Linked DNA regions of Bombyx mori. The protein of the gene in region 2 interacts with the protein of the main gene of each other region in a pairwise test. Links are inferred from orthologs where the notes say so. Each region holds a gene or a part of one and is shown on either strand. Other genes may lie near its edges.

The links. The genes of interacting proteins can lie anywhere in the genome.
Region 1: the proteins of uncharacterized protein LOC101745013 (region 2) and pre-mRNA 3'-end-processing factor FIP1 interact in a two-hybrid assay, tested with the Homo sapiens proteins (2 studies listed by BioGRID and IntAct). The link is inferred for Bombyx mori from reciprocal best matches to the Homo sapiens genes PRMT2 and FIP1L1.

The regions. Positions count from the first base shown.
Region 1 is NC_085121.1:13,342,863-13,347,094, reverse strand, and holds the start of pre-mRNA 3'-end-processing factor FIP1, read left to right. Parts: upstream 1-1,421; 5' UTR 1,422-1,640; coding exon 1,641-1,781; intron 1,782-1,863; coding exon 1,864-2,070; intron 2,071-4,232.
Region 2 is NC_085125.1:5,641,232-5,645,533, reverse strand, and holds the start of uncharacterized protein LOC101745013, read left to right. Parts: upstream 1-1,466; 5' UTR 1,467-1,635; coding exon 1,636-1,689; intron 1,690-1,760; coding exon 1,761-1,997; intron 1,998-2,865; coding exon 2,866-3,059; intron 3,060-3,448; coding exon 3,449-3,660; intron 3,661-3,779; coding exon 3,780-4,011; intron 4,012-4,302. Other genes in the region: mitotic spindle assembly checkpoint protein MAD1, read right to left, coding at 1-155, 576-762. UniProt on the Homo sapiens protein: Arginine methyltransferase that methylates the guanidino nitrogens of arginyl residues in proteins such as STAT3, FBL, histone H4. Acts as a coactivator (with NCOA2) of the androgen receptor (AR)-mediated transactivation.

The sequences.
Region 1 (4,232 bases), on a different chromosome or scaffold from region 2:
ATGTTATTCCTTCACCGTGGAAGTCAATCGTGAACATTTGTTGAGTACGTATTTCATTAGAAAAATTAGTACCCGCCAGCGAGATTCGAACACCAGTGCATCGCTCGATACGAATGCACCGGACGTCTTATCCTTTAGGCCACGACGACTTTAATGCATCAGCAGAGTGCGCTGCTGTAGTTGGAACTTAGAACATTCAACGTTGTGCATTATGCCGCATAATGCGCTCTAGTGCTGCAATTGGAAAACTACCTTCAATAATATTATAATAAATTTAATACTTTATTAAGCGCCTTATTCACGATCCATCTTGCTGTACGTCCCGCCAAGGCCATGCACGATGCACGATGCATTTAGCGCTTTATTCACGATCCATCACGGCTGTACGTCAGCTCAAGGCCGCGGTGCTGGATGTATCAAGCGCGAACAGAATAAATCGAACGAATTAAATGAGAGGGTTTTAATTTATTTAAAATGCCAGCTGTTTTATCAAAACGCCAAAAATGGGAGTCCTTCTGATGTTGTCAGCAGCAGCAGAAGAGAGGCAAATAATAGCAAGAGGTTTTGGATGATTTTTTTAAACGTGCAGAGTATATTCAAATAATTAATATCATTTTTTACGCACGCTATCAATCCTTGCAGCTTCCCCTAAAATGGGCCTAAAAAATTGTAATAAGTTTATTATTTTTTGTTTATTCATATTATTATAGTCTGCGCTTGAGACATTTCACAAACATGTGGAACTTATATCTTTCAATAAATGAGTCGACTATTATCAAAGCCGGCAATCTTACTTTTGGACAATGATTGGTAAATCAGAAAAACGAATTATTGACTTTGTATTCCATTGGCAGTCACAAAACTCTTCGGAACGACATCTTAGATAAATAACAGGTTAACTATTAACCTTTATTTAATGCAGGTTTTGAACCGTATTCTTTGAAGGAGACGATTATATTCAAATGAATCTGTATTGACATATCAATAAATTTTTTTTGTCCAAATGCACAGATTGCCACCTTTGATAATAGACGACTCAAATCTTGAAAGTGTTTCACGATCCATTTTGACGTGCAGTCTCCTCTCGAAACAAGCTACAAATGTTAAATCTGCTGTACAGCAAGTCTATACACGATCAAGCACGCACGACGCAGGACCGCTCTGACGTACGTCAGCGTTATTCACTGTCTATCTGCACGACGCTCGCGGTGGTGGGGGCACTCGCTGGACGCAAAATCGGTCGTGCAAATCCAGCAAACAATTAATAATAATTATCGACGTACGTCAAGCCTATTCATGATCCTTTTGCATCGTGCATCGTGCATGGCCTTGGCGGGACGTACAGCAAGATGGATCGTGAATAAGGCGCTTTAGTATTAACATAATCTATGGTCATAGATTATACACTTATATTTGATCTATGGTTGCTGTTTAACAGATAATACACACGTAGGTACCTATAGCTGTCTAATAGCGTGTTGTTGTTACAAACAAAAAAAAGAGTACCATATACCTACAATTTGCATTTTATTTTACTGAAATTACCACTTAAATTATGTTTGTTACCTACTAATAAGTACATAATATAAAACCATTGGTCGTTCCAAATTTCGTTATTTTCAAGTTTATAACTTGTTAAAATGGCAGAAACGGCCATTGAGACCACACCGGGCGATGAAAACGATGATAATTGGTTATACGGGGATTCTGGCGGAGATGCTAACCAAGAATCCACTGAGGAAACTCAAGAAGTACAAAAATCGGCCGACGTCGTCGGTGGTGTAAGTTAATAACCTAACTACTTATTGCTTGTAAAGTTCCATAAGTTTTTTTACATTTAAACACGGTTCACTTTATTTAAAGGCTGACGAAGAAAATCAAGATGAAGAGGAAGGTAATAACGATTCGGAATTAAATGATGAGCATTTTGCTGAGGTAACGCGCGAGGATCAAAATGGTGACGCTGATAGCCAAGAGAACGGTGACTCTGACTCGGACGACAGCGATGACGTCAAAGTCACCATTGGAGAGATCAAGTCTGGGTCACAATATGCCAGCCTAAACATAAAAGTAAGTCAATTTTCGTCCCTTAGAACATTTTTTTTTATTGCCCTTTTAGGCAGACGAGCGCACGGCCCATCTGATGGTGTACTGTCGCCCATGAACTTCAGCAATGCCAGGGGCAGAGCCAAGCCGGGGCGTACTGATAACTGAAATATGTTTTTATCAAAGTAAAAACTGCCTTTAGGTAAAATTGTTTTATATCTAACATAGCCTTCATTCAATAAAATTAAAATTATTTGTCATGTTTGTGGTAAATGCATTTTACCATCACCATTTTATATATATTGCGTTTTGGATCATTTCGATGCCTCCAATGAACACTACTTAATTCAAAATTTGAAATTTTCGTTTTTCACGCAAATCGCTTCACTATTTTAAAAGTATTACAAATTCATTATTAATGGGGTTTGAAGCAAGAGTAAATCAACTAGTTACACAAGAAAAAACCATAAAATCTTTATTATTGCAGATATATTTATCAACTTTTTTCATTTAAACTCTCCTCCTGTAAACCTACGAATTTGGAGTTAGAGTAGTGTTCATTGGAGGCATCGATTTATAAGTTTACAAATGAAAATAATATACTGATACTGGAACATGAATCTTGGTATATTCTTGCAATGGACTCGGGATAAATAAAAACTAAGTACTTAACTTTAACTTTAAACTGAAGTATAAATTAAAACTTAATTTAATTATTAGAACTCTTAAATGTACTTCACAATTCCTAATTCATTTTTTCTGCTGTGCTTCAGGTGATCCGCTCACTGTTTTGCTTCTAGTAGAACTGATTACTAACAATAATAACTACTTCATGTTGTCTGTGCAACACCATTATAGTGAACATGAAATGTCAACAATTTACGAGAACGCTATTGATAGTACTTATTATTTCAATACCTATGTTCGCTATATGAGAATAGATGGAGTTACACTTCTCGAATATTCCTGAGACTATTACAGCTTTTGATAAGCATTTCTGCTATTTGGTGACCTGCATTTCTCATACCAGCATAGCACTGTTCCTCCTTAGACAAGCTTGCTATGAGTATAGTTATATCCATAATGTTTTGCCACTTGATCATACATGTACAACTTTACTCTGAATTCCTGAATCTGATAAGCAATTTCATTAACTTTATTTCAATATTCTGCACTTGGTCACTGTATTTCTAAGGGTACTGCAAACATGCAAAAACCTTTGTGTACTAACTTATCAGCTGGCTTTTTCATTATGAATGACAAAGACCTCTCACCATGAAGTATTTATTTCCACTATCACTTTCTGTCTATTTTTATTTATTTATTTATGTACACACAGAAAAGAAAACATAGTACAGAGTAATAGGAAAATTATGTACAAAGGCACTGCTTATTTCTTTAAGAAATCTCTTCCAGCATACCTGCGAGAGGATAATGAGAATAATAATAAAAAGTGATGAGTGTGTGTAGAACAAATAACACATAACTAAAATAACAAATACAACATGAGAATTATAGTAATCCACATACACATAGCAAATATGTCGCTATGAGCAATTAGTTCCAACATTGTACAATTTTAGTACACCTTTGACACATGTGTCGGAACCTTTAACTGCAGTACATTATCGATATCAGTCCTCAACATCATTTCGGCAATGGTTACAGTGGATTCGCTTTCGGAATTGCGTCCTTTGTTATCCCCTATCATTTGTAAATCACAATTGAATCTCCAAGCATTTTCCCATTTGTGGCACAAAATTCACAGCTCTAATCTCTTAAGTCTCAGCTCCCACTAGTGAATACTTGTACCAGGTTCTTATAGATAAGGGCCAGTGAAGACCCATACAGTAAATTCAAGCACTGCTCTTGATAGGGCCAGTTTTTTTTATTGCTTATGTGGGTGGACGAGCTCACAGCCCACCTGGCGTTAAGTTGGACGCCGGGTGTAAGAGTGCAGGGGAGTCGTTTAGTGGGTGGGCCCTATATTCCTTGGGCCCGCGGTCTGCTCTCAACACCTGCAGATCGTTGAGTCTCACATACCCCGCGCGCCCCCTAGGCGCGGGGACCTCGTAGGAGGTTCGGCAATCGGCACGGAAAAAAAAAAAAAAAAAAAATTGAGCCCATAGACATCTACAACGTATATGCGCCATGCGCCACTCACCTGATATACGTTCTTAGGTCTC
Region 2 (4,302 bases):
CAGATCAATCTTCAAACGTTTTGTTTCCCATGGTGATGGTGGTGCTGTGGTTCCATTACCACTTGAGTCTCTTCTAAGCCTCTTATCTGGTGTCACATCATCTACGCTACCGATACTCGACTTTCTTTTACCAAATGTCAGTAGATTGGAGAGGCCTATTTAATGTTTATAAACTTATTAAGTTTTGACATTTTACTTCTGAACGTCTGCAGTTTATTGAAAAGGTGACAAACTTAACTAATGGTGATTCTGTTGTTAATAACAGAGGCAGAAATATTTATGAGATATTATTTTTATTAAGACTGAATGACTGACTGACTGATGGACATACATTGCCTTTCAACTATCCCTTTCAATCAATCTTTTCAAACTAACGCGAATGATTACGCTTGGAAAACAGAAATTTAAAAAAATCAACAAATTGAAAAACAGCGAACAATAGACATGAAAACAACGATCACTCGTCTTGTTTTCAATTTTAGGTTAAATGTATTTCTTGAACTTAAATTTACATTGTACCAGATGTCTCTCAAATGTGCTAACATTTATAGTTAGTAAATTATTTCTCACTATACCTTCTTTTATAGATTGAGTACTATCAGAAAAGTTTAGATTTGTAGACGCCGATAACTTGTCTTTTGGTGGTTCAGTGTTTATGACCCTACGAAATGGTTCAAGCACATCGCTGTATAATGACATATCACTTTCTTTAGCCATCTTCTTATATTGAGAAACATTTAATTTATATTCTCGATTTATCATAACCTATCTTAATATTAAATTTTATTTGTCATTTTGCTAAAAAGTAGCAATATTAGCGTTTAAATCTGTCTATGACCAACTCATAGACATTTTTTTTTGTACAATTTTTCCTCTATAAGAAAGGTAAGGGGATCTAAGCTCATACAGCCTACTCATAGACTCACTTTATTTGTAGAGATCACTTTTATTCGTTTCATCTATTTAACGAGCAAATGGAACCCTATAAAATGTTGAAACAAAACCTAAATGTTTGTTGTATTAAAAGTGTAATGGAACTGAATAAAATAAAATTTATAACGGAATAAATTAAATTAAAGTGAATGTGGTGAAATAAGATAGTGCCATAGATTTTGAACGAGATGAAATTTAGGAGCTTCTAAGTAGTGGAAATTCATGGAGAGTTGTTAGATTTTTTAGAAAAACTCTAGTCTTCATTCAGTAAATTTGCTTCATTTTTACAGATTTTAAACCGTCAATAAGCCGTTATGAAACTTGAATAAAAAATAAAACCACTGCTAAACCTAGACCTTTTTTGATAGGTTTTTTGAAAATTGAAGTTAGCTGCTTAACAAAGCAAAGCTAGCAAAGCTTTGAATCATAGTACACTTAATGACACGTCTTATTGTCTTATTTATGGTAAAAGGCTGTATGGGCTTAGATCCTCTTGCCTTTTCTAATAAGGAAAAATTGTACCAAAAAAATCTATGGCAAAGACTAGTTTCAAAGAGTATTTAACACTACGTCTAACTAGTTTGTGGATTGATTTCCGTACATCAATATTTTTGTTTTATTTGTTTTTCGATTACCTATCTATTTTTCATTGATAAAAAACGAAATATTTTGACTAGTTCGTAAGTTAAGCGAAGAAGTAAAATGGAAACTGAAGAAGTGCAGAACAATTACTTTAACAGCTATGAAGATTTAGAGGTTAATCTATAAAAAAAAAACTAAAAAGACTAACTTTACTGAATATTTTTTTATATTATCTAATTCAACAGGTGCATACATTGATGTTAGAAGACGAACCAAGAAACCTAGCTTATAAGAAAGCGATATTAGGGAATAAATGTTATTTCAAGGATAAAATAGTAATGGATGTTGGATGTGGCACAGGAATTTTATCTGTTTTCTGCGCCCAAGCAGATGCTAAAAAAGTATATGCCGTGGAAGCAAGTAATTTAGCGAATTTAGCTAGAGAAATTGTGAAAGAGAATGGTTTCGAAAATGTTATTGAAGTTAGTATTGTCCAAATTAAATTTTTATTATTGTAGACCAAACAGTAGTACACATTTTATTTGAAGCAATTTTTTAACATTTTGATCGTCCTGTGGAAATGACATACAGTAACAGAATTAATTTTGTTTGAATACACTGTACAGACTTTGTTGTGGGGGCATAAAGGTCAGTCTTTAAGGATCTCAATGGCAAGATTGCGAACAATGACCATTAAAATACTGTATTATGTGTATGCATAACTACTGAATCGAGTCAATAGAAATCATTAATGAGATATAATGTTGTAGCTTAAAAAAGAACCCAGGTTTACTTGTATACAACTTTAATAATATATCAGTGTTCAAATGCCGCAGACAGATACAGTCTTACCAAAGAAATATAAATTTAACACAAGCTCATAATTTTTAATCTGATGGAATAAATTTTTAAAATCACTCAAGGAAAAGGGTCTTTGGAGCCTGCAGTCTCATTCACCTGTGTGTACAACAAAAAAGTAACAAAGATGTCTAAAAAATTACCAAAAATTCATATTCAATTCAATTCATAATTGAAGCACAAATTATGAAACCCAAAATTTCCAATTGTAATGTCTTCTTGTGTATTGTAGACATCTATGTAACCATTTATTTGTTAAAACTCCATAAAAAAAGAAATAAAAAAATAGTTGAATACCAAATCTTGGGTTAAATCTCCATTAGCGTTTCAATATTACATAGGACTTTCGGTTTCTTCTTTTGGTATCATCAGTTGGTTGGTTTCTTCTTTTACTTCATATGTCTTTGTTCTGGCAATTTTTAGAAGTTTCAATTGTACAAGAACCACTTACTACAGACTGATATAAATAATTAAAAACTTTTTTTTTTCTAGATAATTCACAGTAAAGTTGAAGATGTAATATTACCAAATAACATAAAAGTAGATGTGATAGTATCTGAATGGATGGGTTTTTATCTATTGCATGAAGGTATGTTAGATTCTGTGCTAATTGCTCGAGATAAGTTTCTTAAGGAAGGGGGAGAAATGTTTCCTGAAACGGCTGTTATTTATGTTGCACCATGTAGGTAAGGCAAATTGTATAAATCCTAATATGACTTTCTTTTCATTATAATTTTTATAAAATAAACAGGTTAATGAGTTAAGGCCCACCTGGGCCCATAGACTTTACCCCCTTGAGACATGACATTAAACTTTCAATAATAATATACAATGGTTATCTTACCTTTCACACTGGAATGTACAACTGCTTTACAACAGGAGTCAACACAATGACACCAATATGTAAGGGTTAAAAAAAAATTTTCCTCCACCAGTAATTTTCAAGTTTATAAATTTTGTGGGTTCAACTATTTCCACAGTGTTATTCTTTTGTCATAGAAGTCAAGATGAAACACTTGTTGAAATAACATTAACAATTTGTTAGTATCTCTATACCTTCTGTTTCTACTTGCAGCATACCTTCACTATACAACAAATGGAACAATGTGCATGGAGTATCAATGTCTGCTTTTGCTAAACATCTTCGCAAAAACAAATCCACTAAACCAGAAATTTTGAATATAGAGCAAAAGGATTTGCTTGGTGATGAAGTAGCACTTTGCTGGATTAATTTGAGGGAAGACAGTGCATCTGATTTGAATGAATTCAGCATCCAGCATGTTGTTGGTATTTAATCTTTTTATAATGCTTATGTATTTCCATTAAAACACATCTAAGTTAAATGTAAAAGTTTCAATTTTTTTATATTTTGTTATTCAGTAATTGAGTCAAAGTCCCTATTTCAGGAGCTAAAAAATCTGGTTCTTATGAAGGCTTGTGTCTATGGTTCGAATGCAATTTTCCCAGTATGTCTGAAACGAAAGACGAGAATCGTATAATTTTGGACACCAGTCCAAATAGTTTGGCAACACACTGGAAACAAACAGCAATAGTATTACCACAGGAAGTGGAAGTGGAAGAAGGAGAACCAATAGCTTTCCAACTCAGCATGAAAAGGGATACAGAACATAACCGGAGGTAAAAATAGAAGGCTTAATTTTTTATTATATTTTAAGGTATATATTTAGCTGATAAAAACAAAAAGGGATCAAAATTAGACTACCATAGTTTGATCATTCAGTCTGTAAAAACAAATATGATTTGTTAAAACAATTATTATTTTAACATTTTGTGTAATCTAATACTTAATATTAATATATAATAATAATAATAATAATTTATTTATTGCTCTCTTAAAGGTACAAGGTACATACAAATTCAAATGGAAATAAATTAACCTTATAATTTATTTTGTAAGCCTTTGAAAGA